2 linked regions of the Lonchura striata genome follow. The protein of the gene in region 1 purifies or fractionates together with the protein of each later gene. This does not show direct contact. Links are inferred from orthologs where the notes say so. Each region holds a gene or a part of one and is shown in the gene's direction. Other genes may lie near its edges. The genes, in order: organic cation/carnitine transporter 2 and YIPF3.

Region 1 (7,715 bases):
CGTGGCTTTTCAGCTTTGCAGTTGACAAACTATAGCTAGAAATCTTAGACTCGAACCAGATTCCCCTCGGAGATTTCTTGGATCAACAGCCTGAAGTAACTGAATTATAGTTGCTGAATGATGTTCAGTTTCCAAGTGTTTGCTGCACTGCTGCTGCCATCCAGCAAGGCACACTGTAGAGAATGTTGTATTTCATCTCATGTTTATATTAGCAGTGTAACCTTGTTATTGTAGTGGTGTTTGTAGGAGAGGGAAGTGTCTGATGACACCCTGGAAAACATTCTCAGTCTTTTACTTGCTTTCAGTTTCAGAAATGAGCAACAAACCACTGGCATTAGGAGTTCCAAGGAGAGTCCTAAAAGTCTGATAACACCTTTGTGAAGAAAGACACACCTCTCAGAGGGGCTGAAAGAAGAACAAAATCATCTCAAAACGCATTTGCCAGCCAGAGGAAAATGAACAAAACCCAACAGCACCATAGTTGTCATCCCCTGTGCTGCTGTCCCCAAATTATGTAGTACACCGACCAGTGCTGTCTGCTCCTGTAGGACTGTTGGTCTGTCACTGTGTCCTGGTCCCTGGCCTTTGTCAGCAGACACAGCCCCTGTTGAGAAACAGGGTCTGTCTCAAGGAGTAAGCTGGAAGTGAGCCTTAGAAATAATGCTGCAGTGACTCCAGGCAGCCAGGTACTCAATAAAAGCTGCTGAAAGGGGAAAAAAAATAGCAAACCTAATGCTGGTGTTTTTTCTCACTTCGTGTGTTGACTGGAGGAAGGAGAGCTGGGTGTCTGCCTTTCAAAACCAGAAAGAAAGAAAGATCCTGGCCTCCTTTGAAATCTGTGGCCAAAGCCCATAGACTAAGTGGAGTCAAAATTCATTTGTAGCAGAGCAGACAGACTTCCCTGTAAGGACATGGGTTTTAAACTTACCCTCAGAGTGGCTTTAGATGTCACTTGCTTCTCCCAGGACCTGGGATCCCCCTGTTCCTGTAAAAGCTGCTGCTCTTTCATAAAGCCTGAGCCCACCCAGAACCCTCAGCTTTGTGAATCTTCAGTGGCTTTGGGGAAGGGGAAAAATCTTGAGCACTGAGTAAGGACTATAATTTGCTGACTTTCTGGTGGGTCACACCCACTTTGAACAGAAGAGTCAGCTGTAGCAAGTCCATGATCCTATCCCAACCTTCCATGCATTATAGCTTTCAGGTTTTTCGTGGTATATGAGCATAAGCTGTTTTTTAGCTCTCTTGGGGTGTTGTTTTTTCTTTTTCCCAAAGTATTTAATTTCTCCTTTGAATATATACCACTTTGTTCTGCACCTTCAGAGAACCCTCACTGCAGTTTCAAAAGCATTCACAAAACCTTTATAAGATTTACAAACTTAAAGACAATTAGATGCTCACAAAAATCTGATTTTCTGTACTGGATATGGTCACCTGCGGCTATTAAAAATTCAAAAGGACTAATTTGAGACCACAGAGGTTTTTATATTAAAAGAAACCCCAAACACCAACAAAACCAGTGTTTTGTTTTTCAAATCCTACAGATTATGTATGTTTTGGGTTTTTTTGGGTTTTTTTGAGTTCAGCAAAGCTAGATTGGATGAAGATAAACGTAGAACTCAGAGTTGTGCTACTACTGTTTTATGAACACTACATTGTCTGAAGAGTGTAATTCCTCTTGTTTTTGTATTTATTGGCTGTATGTGCACTTATTGGTCACTTATAGTCTATCAGACCTGATAGACTGATTTTTATCCTCTATAAATAACAATTAGCCCTGATTCACCTTCTATAAGGGCTAACAAAAGCACAGTGTCTCATCTCTAATGCCTGAGTTCAGGGTAGATTGTCTTGTGCTGGCTCTTGGCACAAGAATGTGGCTCTCCCTGAAGTTCAAGCACAAATATAAAGCTTTATAACAACTGCAAGGAACTTGTGCAATTAACTCAAGCTGCTTTTGGGAGTTGAAATACTATTTTTAATTTCCTGCAATTATGCTTTTGCCATAAATGTAACATGGCATAAGGGAACCTGTGACTCCTGATCTTCTCATCCCTTCTTAGTCAATTTCTCGAATAACAGCAGTATTTAATCTTGCTTTTACTTTTACAGAGTTAATCTAAAGAAGTATTGTTTAGATGCAACTAAATTTCTCAAGAGAGCCTTTTTATCAGCATAGGACAGGTTTGAGGACTTGAGTTTTATATAGGTGGCCATATTTTTATGAAGATTGTTATTTTGAGACTTATTTTATGCGATTGTAGGCTTGGGTATTTCTAAAAGGTAAATATTTTTGTACTCTTGAACCTTTCAGTATCTTAAAACCTGTTTTTCCTTTTTTAAATAAGAAAAAGTACAGTGTATTTAAAATACCATGTTATAACCAGTCTCATTTTTCTTACTTAAACCATTGATCTCAAGCTAGCATCACATAGTATTTTTTGCAGCAGATTTAATAATCTTTCAGGGGAGTGGAATGTCTTTATTAAAATTATGTGATGTTGTTACAAGGCCTTATGGAGTCTGAGCATAGTGGAAATGAGGGAAGCCCCAGCTGGATTGTTCTCACTGACAGGGTCATCACCCTGTGCCTCATCTGTAACCTCTGTCACCTTTACTGGGGTCTCTCTGTGCAACCTTGGCCTCAGCTGACTTGCTGGGTCTGCTAATAATTATATGAAATTGTAGTAATTGTCAGTCATCGCCCTCTGTTTTCATTGCAATAAAAATGTGCACTGACATTGTTTCAACCTTTGTCCTGTGTGGATTCTATTTGAAGAGCAGGTCTCCGAACATAAACACTTGGTGCCAAGAATTTTAAATAAATAAATAAGAAAAAGTATTTAGCGTGGATTGGGCATGAAAAAAAATCCTGAAATAAGCTCTTTCACCGACTAAGTTCTTCCACACATGAAGATTTTAATGGCGTGGTACAGTTTTTCTGCCTTTCAGGTGCAAATCCCTGGAAGCTGACCCCACCCAGGCTCAAGGATGATTTTGTGATTTAACTCCTATTATGTCATTCATTTTCCACCTTTGAGATTTTTCACAACCATGTGATTCCAACCCAGGGATAAAAGATCATTTTAAATACAAGTGTTCAAAAATGCTGTAAAAGGTACACTATTTTTTTTTTTATCAGTTAGTGGTGGGAAAAAGAAGACACTTGAAAATGTGAGTTAGCTTTATGAAGAGCAGGATCAAATTTCTGCAGTCATGCAATTCAGCTTTTGAACTGCCTTGTATGGGACTCTGTGAACTTCCTGCCTATACCGCTAGGTACTGAGCTGGGATTTTGGGCCTGGGATTAGAATATTATTTATTAAATTTATTATTTGTCAAGCATGTAGTACGCATTGCCTGCGAAAATAGCGTCAGGGTCAGGAAAGCTTTTTTACAGCTTCAGCTGAGCCTGCTGAAGGGACAATGGCAGCTGTGGGAAGGTGCTACAGAGTGACACAGAGTGACAGAGGAGCCCTTTAACTGCTGAGCTCGCAGCACCGCCGTGCTTTGATGGGCAGGGCAATGCCTGCAGGCTCCTGGCTCGGTACCAGCCCACAGCAGGCGCTCCCCACGAAGGGTTCACACGCGGGCCGGCGCTGCGGGAACGGCCCTGGCGGAGCCCCGGCCCCGCGCGTGTCCGAGGGAGCGCTGGACGTGGCACCGGCGGCACCACGGGAGGTACGAGATGCCGTTCGGTCATAGGTTGGACGCGATGATCTGCGGGGTCCTGTCCAACCTCATTGACTACAATTCACCTCCACTTTGGATTTGGAATTCTTGGCCGTTCCTGACTGCAAGGTACGAAGGGCAGGGCAGCCGTCGCGCAGCCCTGGGCCCGGCGGGAGCCGCAAAGCGCCCGGGCGCAGGGCCGGCTCCGGCCCGCCCCGCCGCGTGTGGCACACCCGGCCCGGCCCGGCCCGGCCCGCCCCGCCGCGTGTGGCGCACCCGGCCCGGCCCGGCCCGGCCCGGCCGAGCCCCCGCCGCGCCTCCGGGCGGAGCGCCCCGGGCCCGCCCCGCCGGGCGGCGCGGCCTCCCCGGGCCCGCCCCCGGGCCGGGCCGGGCGCGGGGCCGCGCGGCCGAGCGGGGCGGCCGCTTCCTGCCCGCGCCTCTCGGAGCCGCGGCACCGCAGCTCGGCCGCGCTCGCCATGCGCGACTACGACGCGGCCACCGCCTTCCTGGGCGAATGGGGCCTCTTCCAGCGCCTCGTCTTCTTTCTGCTCAGCGCCAGCATCATTCCCAATGGCTTCAACGGCCTCTCCATCGTGTTCCTGGCCGGCACGCCCGAGCACCGGTGCGCCGTGCCCCGCGGGGCCAACCTGAGCGGCGAGTGGCGCAACGCCAGCATCCCGCTGGAGCTGCGGGGCGGGCAGGAGGTGCCGAGCCGCTGCCGCCGCTACCGCCTGGCCGCGCTCGCCAACTTCTCGGCGCTGGGGCTGCGACCCGGCTCCGACGTGGAGCTGGAGGCGCTGGAGCTGGAGCCGTGCCTGGACGGCTGGGAGTACAGCCGCGATGTCTATCGCTCCACCATCGTCACCGAGGTGCGCGGGAGCGGGAGGGGAATCCCGGCGTGCCGGGAGAGCCGCGGGGTTATCGCAGTGCCGCTGCAGCTCCGCCGCGTTCTCTGCCGGCTCATTGATCTGCTGCTAAACCTGCCATGCCGAGTTTATTCTGGGGTCTTCTGTTCACTGTCATTTGCATAAGAACGAGGAAGGAAATTTTTATAGTGAGGGTGATGAGACACTGGAACAGGTTGTCCAGGGAGGTTGTGGATCTCCAGTGTTCAAGGCCAGGTTGGATAAGGCCTTGAGCAACCTGCTCTAGTGGGAGGTGTCCCTGTCCGTGGCAGGGACTGAATGATCTTTATAATGTCCATTCCAATCCCTTAACATTGTTTGTTTCTATAATGAGCTTCCAAGTGAAACCTGTTTCCTTACCCAGCGAAACTGATCACTCTGCAAATCTTGGTTCATCGGGTATCCGTGCAAGGGGCTGGAGCAGGGTCAGCACTGGGTTCAGCTTGGTGTGATAGAGATGTCTTTTTGAACATCAAGTTTTATGTTTATTTTCTTTCTTTAAAAAAATAAAGGTGGTAGAACTCATAGGATCACAGGGTGGTTTGTGTTGGAAGGGGCCTTAAGGAACATCTAGTTCCAACCCCCTGGCAGGAACACCTTCCACTAGACCAGCTTGTTCCAAGCCCTGTTCAGCCTTGCCTTGAGCACTTGTAGGGATGGGGCATTCATAGCTTCTCTGGGCAGCCCGTGCCAGTGTGTCACCACTCTCACAGTTTAGCGTCACCCTGAGTTGTGCAAGATGCACGGGTTGGGGAGGCCTGGTTTGATGCTTTATTCAAAGGACTCTGAACTGTGTGCCCACAGTGCCTCTGCTTTGGTCTCTGTGCTCACGTGCTGGGACAGGTCATGTTTGTGTCTGTGCAGGTACACCGCTTGCATCAAGTCTGGGCTGTGGGTAACCTTACCAAAGGTGAAGCTGAGCTGCTTGTCACTGCTTTCAGATGAAAGCTGTGCAGACCCACAGAAGCAAGGAAATGGGTTTTGAGAAGTACTTTTGAGGAACACTTGAGTTTCAATACAAGTATAGGCCTTTTTCAGAAGGCTCACAAAGCCTGTACAGTCCCATTGAGTTTTATGGAGCTGGAGCTCCATAACAAACCTGCCATGATTTCTTGTTTTGCAAATAGGGCTGTGGTCAGTGTTTGGACAGTGATGGGTGTGAGAACTAAAGGACCATAAGCTGATCTGGGCACTAAGGAGCCATGGCAGCACAAGGAGGATTAGAAATGGTGACACAGGAGTTGTAGGAAACTCAGTCAAGGGTTTGAATGATTCTGACAAGTGCAAGGCATTGCCTCATCTGCTCCTAAAGAATTGCTGTTTTACTGGAGAGGAAAGCTGCTGGGAATGTCTCAGCTCCAGTCTTTGCTGGAAAGGCTGTTGTGAAAGGTTGAGTACTCTCAGGGCAGTGTCAGGCAGTTGGCATCTTCTGGGGCAGACCTTTCACAGGGGCACATGGGTGTTCCCAGTGCTGTGCTGTGATCCTGGCTTAGATCTAGTGCTTTCTCTTTAGAGCTTCACTCAGCTTTGGCTTGATGTTAATGAAAATGTCTTGAGCTATTGGAGTATGGTGCAGGAGTTTTACAGTCTATAAGAAAAGGGTGCTGCTCACACACAGTGCTGAGACTGCCCAGGCCTGGCTCCTTGTCTGTGTGACTTGGCAGATGTCCCGTGCCCGTGGGAGGCAATGTTTGTCTGCCCAGGCATCATGCACTGAGGCAGTATTTTTTTCTCCTCTAATATGAATGCATCTGAGGGAGTTTTGAAAGAGCTGTGGCCTTTCACACACTTACAGGTTTTCAGTGTTTAACTTGTTTAATTTCTTGGCTTGGTGGTGCTGCTTTTATGATTAACTAATCTTGTGTTTAGTTGCATATCTCTAACATGTTGAATAATCATGAGGACCTTTGTCCCAGATTTCCATAGCTGACACTGGGAGGGGGAAGGGGGATTTTTTTTTATTAAGAAAGGTTTTTGCTGAATCTCTCATGACTTTAGAGAAACCTTGTTTATGGTTCTGCTTTTCAGGGGAGACTTAAAACATTCAGTTCTCTCCTACTTGAAGAGAGACTTTCTTTTCTCACAGACTAACAACAGAAGGTTATTATTAGCCAGTCTGCAGTATTTAACCAGCTTGGTGTAACAGAATCCCTTTCTGTCTTTTACTTTTTGAAATGCTGTAGCTCAGGGCATAAGAAGGGCTTTATTTTGGCTCAAGAAACCAACTGTGTCATTCTAATTCCTCCATAAGTCTGTGTAAAAAAATGAATGTAGGAATGGTAAAAGTTTATACATGGTAGTAAAAGGACTAAACCAGGAGTAATTAAGGGAAAATATTAACTTCTAGCAGTCAGAGCTGTTATGGGGCTATACCAGGAGTAGAATTCAGCAGTGCAGTTAAGGGCATGAGTGCACTAGAAATATGATATAATGAGGTGTTAGATGATACATCAGTCAGAACATTTTAGTTCACACAAGAGTAATTCTTAAACAGTGAACCATAAACAGATGCTGAATTTTGGATACACCTATTCATCCTTAGCTTCTAAAAAGGTGTTGTATTGTTCATCAGCTTGAAATCAGTGCAGGTGGTGTATGCCAGATTTTTGCATGCTTTGTGCCTGTTTTGCTGTTGGCAAACTTTTGGGCCTGTTGGCTTTTGCAGAGGAAGGATGACATGGTGGGAATTGCCAGGTGTCTAGAGGCTGGTTATGTGCAGGGCTGGTGCTCCATCCTGTCTGGGTGTTCAGAGAGGGAAAGTTCTGGGCAGAGACAAGGGCCCAGAGGTTTCCATTCTGCACACCCCAGGGATCCAAGTGCCCTGCTGTGCTGTCAGACCACAGGCCCTGGAGATGAGTGGGTTATGCCAGGGCTGCAGGAAGCCAGGGGAGACTGCAGCAGTGACATGTGCAGGACACCAATGGGCTCTGGGGCACAGCTGGGTATCCAGAGGTTTCCATGTTCACCCTGCTGGAAGACAGAGGGATGTATTGTTTCACTTTGCCAAAATAAAAACACAGACTTATGCTAGATGTTGTAATTTATAGAGTCATAGAATCATAGACTGTTTTTTATTGATTGGGAGGGACCTTAAATATCACCTATTTCAACCCCCTTCCTTTAGGGACACCTTGCTTTAGA
Region 2 (7,715 bases), on another chromosome or scaffold:
TACCCCAACGAAACAGAACTTTCGTTCTACTTACTTGCTGAGGTCTAGCACTATAGCGTGCATTGACTTCAGCAACTGGGACACAACAATACTCCCAGACATTTTCAACTCTTTACATGCTGCATCTAACCTGGCCTCAAACACTTCCAGGGATGGGGCATTCACAGCTCCGGGCAACCTGTGATAACTTACTTCTACCCTCATTGTAAAAAATACCTAATGTTCAATATAAGTCTACCTTCTTCCAGTTCAAAACTGTTGGCCCTTAGCCTGTCACTACAGACCATGGTAAAGTCTTTCTTCATGCCCCCTTTAGATACTAAAATGCCAGAACAGGGTCTCCCTGGAGCTTTCTTGTTCTCCAAGCTGAACAATCCCAGCTCTCTGTTTCTTCATAAGAGAGGTGTTCCAGTCCTCTGCCAGTACAGCCTTTTCTATATTAACTATCCCTGAGCTGGTTTGAAATGCCCACAAAACAGCCGTGCTCTGATAGCAACTTACTGAACCTCACTGACCTACTGTGAAGTGCTTTATGATGCTGCCCTATCAGTCCTCCTCACTGCATACCATCTAAAATAAATGCTGTTACTCATCTTTAGACATGCTGCCGCTCTCTCCTCCATGTATTATGGTTTCACAATTGTGAATGGCATAGGAGACAGCTTTTTTAAAAAAAAGCCTTTATTTTAGTGCATCTTCTCACTACAGCTCATTACCATCAGAAAAATCCAAAGAGATAGTCCTTGGATTCCTAGCAAGAAGCCCCTAACAAGCCTCCTGCCTATGGAAGAGGAATCCCCCCTAGAGGCAGGTGCAGGAAGCGCAGAACAGCAGCGCAGGTTTCTGCTTTCCCAGCTACAGCCCGGTCACTCCATAGACACAGAGTCCAGCTCATTGAGGAAACGCTGACACTTTCCCATCAGGATCTTGATGGCTTCACTTACCAGCACATCTGGAGGCAAGATACCTGTCGACTCCACTGAAACTGCACAGAGACAGACACAAGTCAGCACAGCCACGAGGCAGCCTCAGCCTCCATGCCCCTGGCTCCATGCTGCTGGCCCTCACCTTCCCTTGCACCTCACAGCAACAAGCCAGATCTTCACAGCCAGACAAGCGGCTCCCTTTGCCAGCAGGAAGCACCAAGAGATTCAATCCCAAAGCAAGTAGTTACTCACTGCGTTCTGAATGTATGGATGCTGAGGGTAGGAAGAGGCACAGAGCCAGCCATGCATGCTGGTCAGTCACTGCTTGCTCACACAAACCATGTCAGGACTCTGTGGAAAACGAGGCACTTACAGATGTAATGGTTCCGTACTCTTGCCAGGCGTACGAGGTTTTTCAGACTCTCATGTCGGAAAACTTCTCTGCTGAATGTGTCCAACCGTGCATTGGCTACTCTTGCCACCTTTTTTCCTAAAGGGAAGATGAAACGAGATGGACAAATTGCAGCAGGTGGATACCTTATGGTCACAACATGTGCTTACCTCAAACAGGCACTCCCTCCTCACCAAAGGCTGGGAGACACCAATAAAAAGAATTAGCATATACCCAACATGAAAGTCTAACCTGGCAGGAAAACCCAAACACAAAGCGTACATGCACCCCAGAAAGATACAAGAAGTCTCCACACTCAGCTGCTTTTCCAGCTCACTACCCAGTGTCACAACTGAACAGCACTGCAAGCTGCAGTCAACAGCTGCAGAGCTCTGCGGACAGGTATCCAATTTATTTCAGGGACATCCGTGTTTGTCACCCAACATGCTGCACATGGCAGCTACTCATCCATAAAAGTAGGCTCGGAAGAACATGAACCATTGATCAGCACAGCAACATTACATGTGGTTTTGTTTCTGCAAAGTTTGGCTCTAAGCTCCAATCTAAAGCTTGCAAGGAACAAGGCAGTTAGCGCAGGAAAAAAGTACCATTGATATTCTGGATCTCAATGACTCCAGGGGAGAAGCACTTCTGCAACATCTCAGCTGCCTCATCCTCAATAGGCTGCAGGAGAGTAATGTCAGGAAGCAGTCGATAACTGGCTGTGGCCACAGGAGAAAACTTGGCATGATCCTTACCTGTATGAAGAGTTAAGAGTCAAGGATGAGAGCAGGCCTCAGGGAACAAGGATGCTCAGGCCTGAAGTTCCAGGGGAAAAGCCAGTTCTCCACCCTTCCCCATCACACTGCAGTGCCCTACTCCAAACATTCCCGCTGCCCCAGGAGCCACGACTCACCTATACCCTTGACACAGTGCATAAGCACATCTATTTCCTGTCCAGGTCGCAACAGTGCAATGAGGATGTCATCATGAACAGGTCGGAAGTCAGCATCTGGGAAAAGGTCTGTCTGATTCCCCAGGGGCACCCATGTCATGTGTTTACTGTACACTGCAAAGAGAAGCCACAAGCATCAGCCAGCTGCTGTATAGGACTGGAGATAGCAAAAAGAAAGTTTAGCAGAATGGAATCAACTCTCCCTGTGAGCACACAGGGCTGAGAAAACAGCCCAAAACCAAAAAGAAAAAACAGCACCTATTTTTAGGAGCAATCTCACCTTTATGATTGAAATATAGTTCATCAGGATCAGATGATTCCTTGGCAGCCTGAGGGTTTCGTTTGCATTTGATTTTCAGCTGAAACTGCAGAGTATCAATTTCAGTGCCTTCCTGATCTCCTGGGAAGAAGCATATGAAATCACACTTCTGCTCAGTTTACACAACCCTGATTTCCTACTTTGAGAGAAACCTTCAATATTTCTATTCTGTTCAAGATTCTCACCTTGGTTTCTGTACTCAAAGAGCCTAGGGTCAGCTCGGATAGGGATGAGGCCCAACCGATGAGCCAGAATTTCATCCTGCACAATGGATGTGTTGTTGTACACAAACACCTTCTCTACAGCCATCGTTGGCACCTCAAGGAGACAAGAGATCAAGTCAGCTTAAGACAATAGTTGAACTACATGCCAAGAGATTATGCAGCTCAAGTGTCCCTCCTCTCCCACAAATAACTGCCAAGCAGACTATTTTGAGTGGTATTTCTACCAAATCAGGCTATGCAATATACCCGTACACCACATCTATTCCTATCCCCGTCTTTTTAAACAATCAAGAGATGAAGGACAGGAAAAAGGGCTTTGGGGCATCCTGAACCTGTTAGTACTTGGCAGCATCATGTGGCTTCTGTTGGGTTGGCCACGCAGCTGTGTTGAAATGGCTGACCCGCAGACACTACCAAAGCACCCCTAGGACCAGCAGGCGCTATTGCCCATGCTGCTAAAGTCCTAATTCTCTTTGGGCTCCTGGCACCCATGCGGAACGAACGTGTGCTTCTCTTCCAAAGCCCGCAGCTGTCCGCAAGGGCTGACAATGCTGGACATTCCACGCTCCCTGTCAAGCCAGGCTTAGGCCGGCACCACCAGGTGAGCAGAGGTACCTCGGCGAGCAGGATGCGGCGGAAGGCGTTGGCGATGGCGGCGTCGATGCCCACCATGTCGAACTCCAGGGCGTCCTCTTCCTCACGGATCACGTCCACGCGGAACGCCTGTGGGAGCCGCGCACCGCGGGTCAGCCGGCTGCAGGGCCCCGTACCCACGGGCAGCCCCGGCCCGGCGCCGCTCACCCACCTCCTCGAAGCGCCGCTGGTCCCAGGCGTCCTCGTAGCCGGGGTAGTTCCCGGGGAAGTCGGTGGTGTGGACCTGCGGGGAGAGGGCAAGGCGGGGCGGTGAGGGGGTGAGGGGGTGCGGGCGCCGGCCGCCCCGCCCCGTCCCGCCCGCCGGGCTCGCTCACGTTGCGCACGCCGAACTCGCCCAGCACCACGCGGTCCCGCATCTCGTCCGTGCCCCGCCGCGCCGCCATGAGCGCGATGGGCGGCGCTGCTGGCGGTGCTGCTGCGCCGGGAGGCTCCGTCACATCCGCTCCCGCCCATCCGGGCCAGCGCGGCGGGGCCGGGAGCGGCGCCATGGCCGCGCCGGGGGCGGCGGGCGGCGGCAGGAGCGGCGCCCCCGCCGCCGAATGGGGCGGCTTCGAGGACAACATGCAGGTGGGGCCGGGCCGGGGGCGGCGGGGCCGGGCCGGGCCGAGGGGGTGCTGACACCGAGTCTGCCCCGGCGCAGGGTGGTGGCTCCGCTGTCATCGACATGGAGAACATGGACGACACGTCGGGCTCCAGCTTCGAGGACATGGGGGAGATGCACCAGCGCATGAAGGAGGAGGAGGAGGAGGCGGAGGGCGAGGCGGGCGCCGGCGAGGAGGAGGAGGACGGGGAGTTCCTGGGCATGAAGGGGCTGCGGGGGCAGCTGGGCCGGCAGGTCGCTGACCAGGTGAGCGCTGTCCCCCGTCAGCCTCCGGCCCCGGGTCCTGCCTGCCCGCCCGGCCGCTGCCCGCTCCTTCTCTCCGCAGATGTGGCAGGTGGGGAAGAGACAAGCCTCCAGGGCCTTCAGCCTCTACGCCAACATCGACATCCTCCGGCCCTACTTCGATGTGGAGCCCGTCCAAGTGCGAGCCAGGTGGGCTGCGGGGAGGCAGCGGCTCCGAGCCCGCAGCAGTCTGGCTGCCAGGCCCGAGCGAGCGCCAGTTGCCCCCGCAGGAACGCTCACCTATGGGCAGACACATCGTGCCTTGTCCTGCCCGCCTTAGCGAGGTGCTGTGCTTGGGCTGGCAGCCCTGTCACCTGGCATTGCTGCTGAGTGTAGGAGAAGGGACTCTTTTTGTACTTGGCTGCCCTATGTGGCTTCTGTTGGGTTTGCAACACAGCTGTGTCCAACGAAGCAAAGTTTTGTGAGACTTTATGAGGAAACTTGCCTTTCCTTCCTGCTCTTCTGTCAATGATCTCTCATCCCTGAGTGGATCCCTAAATATTTTCATTAAATCTGCCCCTCCTCAGCAAAGTTAACCCACTTGACAGGAAGGTTTTCGTTCTTTAGTGACCTTGACTCACCCTTTAGAAAGAATCCACTGTCCCTCAAAGGCTGTCAACACAATAGCAAACACTGGTAATGGGTATATGGTGTCTTTTACTTATGAAGTATTTTGTTAATTCTCCTGTTGTTCTCGCTGCTCCTGTTGTCATTCCCTGCTTTCCTGTGATGCAGACTGCTGGAGTCCATGATTCCTGTGAAGATGATTAATTTCCCACAGGTGAGTTCCCTTTTGCTGAATCAGACTCCATGGCCAAGTGACTGTCCCACAGACACCTTGTAAAACTTGTAATAATCCATGTTATTAAGGACTAAGTTTGTTAGATGTTCTTCTTCCTGAAAATGTTGGTGGCTCCTTCCCATGGTTGTTCCAAACCTCAGCGTGCTGTCACCTAACCTCAGGTGATAACCTGGGTGCTAAACTTCATCCAGTGCACTTTTCACATCACCTGTGGTGGGAACCCTGATATTCTGGGGCTCTAACCAAACTTTCCCTCACCTGTCTCCTCCTGTAGAAGATTGCAGGCGAGCTGTATGGACCCCTCATGCTGGTTTTCACACTGGTGGCCATTCTTTTGCATGGAATGAAGACCTCAGACACCATCATTGTACGTCGAGTTTCAGTGATAAGTGGTGGTTTGACTGGGCTCTGGGTTGCCATGACACTAGAAAAGGAGAGGAAACCTCTTCTATAACTGAATAAGCATCTTGCTGAAATGAAGATTGATTTGAGGATGTTGGTTTGGAGGTGGGAAGAAGGATGTACCAGAAAGTTTTGACACTATGCTGCTGGAAGAGCTTGGGGTGTAGGTCCTGTGGCCCCTTGAATGCTGCTGGGCAGCTGTTTAATAATGCCTACAAAGTGTCGGGACTCCCATGGGTTAATTTGGGTACTGGCAGGTCACTTCTTTGAGTTCTCCTCATCCTGACACTGTCTCCACAGAGGGAAGGCACGTTGATGGGCACAGCCATTGGCACCTGCTTCGGTTACTGGCTGGGTGTCTCATCTTTCATGTATTTCCTGGCATATCTGTGCAATGCCCAAATCACAATGGTGCAGATGCTGTCACTATTGGTATGTACTCATGGAGCTGCCCTATGATGCACACTGGCTGCATGGTGTTCCAGAATAAGTTTTTCCCAAAAAACAGGCAAAGTCTTTTTGTAAACTGCTGGTCCCAGGTAACTGCACTGGGACAACCTGGAATTCTGGGATGTTCTTCTGACCTGCACCATCCCAGGCACAACAATAGTACAAAGAGGCAGTTCGTTATGCAGGTCTCCTGCTTTGAACTTGCTGATTTGAGAACCTGGTGGTAAAAAGCCAGGAAACTCCAGTTTCTCTGGGATTGGAGGATATTTCCTCTGTTTCCCATGTTGTCACAATCTCTGACATGCCTGTGAATCCTTTAGATTATCTGTGTGTGAGCTGCTGTTGAAGTTGTTGTTCTGGTTGACTGTTCGGCAGTGAATGAGTGGTTTGTGAGGCTTTGCTGTGGTGAAGTGTTGCAAGAATAGGCGGTTTGTGCTCTTGATCAATGGCCCTTTGTGTGGGACCGGTGCTTCTAACATGGACATTTTTGTTTTGTCAGGGCTACGGTCTTTTCGGACACTGCATCACTCTCTTTGTCACCTATAATATTCACTTCCACTCCCTCTTCTATATCTTCTGGTTGGTTGTTGGTGGACTCTCTACACTACGGATGGTAAGGGATAAGCAGCCTGGGGTCTTTCTGGGACAAAAAAAGGGACGGAAGTGTTTGCTTTCTGTTCCTTGGCCTGGTGGTTCATTTCACAGCCAGACGAACTGCTCTGGAGAAAATGATGCTCCTGAATAATTTGGCCACTGCTATATGGAAGTGCTATTTGGATTAATATCCTCACCCATTCTAAGAGCTGCAGGAGGTTTATTTACTCCCTTACAGCTCTTGCTGCTGTGGAGAGCCATGCCTGAGCATCCTGAACTCTTGGCAAGACTGGGCAATGTTCACCTATACAAAACAGTGTCAAATTTCTCCAAATTTGTTGGTGAAAACTGCAAAAAAGACTTAGTGTGGTGTTCCTGCAGATTCTCACTGCCTGACCTGTTCTTCCATGTGTTTCTGACTGCAGTGCCAGCGGCTCAGGTAGCAGGTGCCCTGCCTCTGATCACCTCCTCTCTCTTAGGTTGCTGTGTTGGTTTCACGCACCGTGGGACATACCCAGCGGCTCATCCTGTGTGGGACTCTTGCTGCTCTGCATATGCTTTTCCTCCTCTATCTGCACTTTGCTTATCACAAGGTGGTAGAAGGTAAGCAAGGGAGATACAAAGATATCTTGTTAGATCTGGGGGAAGAGAAGTTGTTTTTTCTCTCTCTGAGAGAGAGGATGGACAGTTTGAATCTGTCCTTTTGGGCATCTGTGCCAGTTTCCAACTCTAAAATCACTATCACTAGCTTTTTAGAAGAAGCTGTTCAAGTAGGGCAGCAGGTAAACATTGGGGTAGTTGCTGTGCACTGAGTTTTAGCACTTAAGACCCAATTTGTGAGGCAGGATCGTAATTATTTCTCCACAAGTGAAGTGTAACAGCACTGACTCTTCTTGCATGCAGATGTCCAGCCCCTTCCTGAATATTGTTGAAGTCAGGTTGGTTTTCTCTGATCAGGAAATGTATCATACGTTTTTACTTCTTTGTTGAACATATTATTGTATCTTGTGTTGTATAGCACAGATAGCAGAAGCTATATCTTCCCCAGCTGGTACTGTTAACCAGGCCATGGATTTTCATGTCCTCCTTCTATCTCTTCTTCTTTTCTCCTAACA

The links.
Region 2: the proteins of organic cation/carnitine transporter 2 (region 1) and YIPF3 purify together in Homo sapiens (co-immunoprecipitation; 3 studies listed by BioGRID and IntAct, counting the BioPlex papers as one, with this or other methods). This does not show direct contact. The link is inferred for Lonchura striata from reciprocal best matches to the Homo sapiens genes SLC22A5 and YIPF3.

Annotation. Positions count from the first base shown.
Region 1 is NC_134617.1:10,713,190-10,720,904, forward strand, and holds the start of organic cation/carnitine transporter 2, read left to right. Parts: upstream 1-4,080; 5' UTR 4,081-4,145; coding exon 4,146-4,538; intron 4,539-7,715. Other genes in the region: SLC22A4 (solute carrier family 22 member 4), read left to right, coding at 306-381. UniProt on the Homo sapiens protein: Sodium-ion dependent, high affinity carnitine transporter. Involved in the active cellular uptake of carnitine. Transports one sodium ion with one molecule of carnitine.
Region 2 is NC_134605.1:36,009,721-36,017,435, reverse strand, and holds the start of YIPF3 (protein YIPF3), read left to right. Parts: upstream 1-3,941; 5' UTR 3,942-3,955; coding exon 3,956-4,036; intron 4,037-4,109; coding exon 4,110-4,316; intron 4,317-4,395; coding exon 4,396-4,502; intron 4,503-5,087; coding exon 5,088-5,133; intron 5,134-5,428; coding exon 5,429-5,521; intron 5,522-5,856; coding exon 5,857-5,988; intron 5,989-6,505; coding exon 6,506-6,619; intron 6,620-7,079; coding exon 7,080-7,203; intron 7,204-7,715. Other genes in the region: POLR1C (DNA-directed RNA polymerases I and III subunit RPAC1), read right to left, coding at 867-985, 1,300-1,416, 1,926-2,075, 2,234-2,386, 2,553-2,672, 2,777-2,909, 3,431-3,538, 3,621-3,692 and 1 more. UniProt on the Homo sapiens protein: Involved in the maintenance of the Golgi structure. May play a role in hematopoiesis.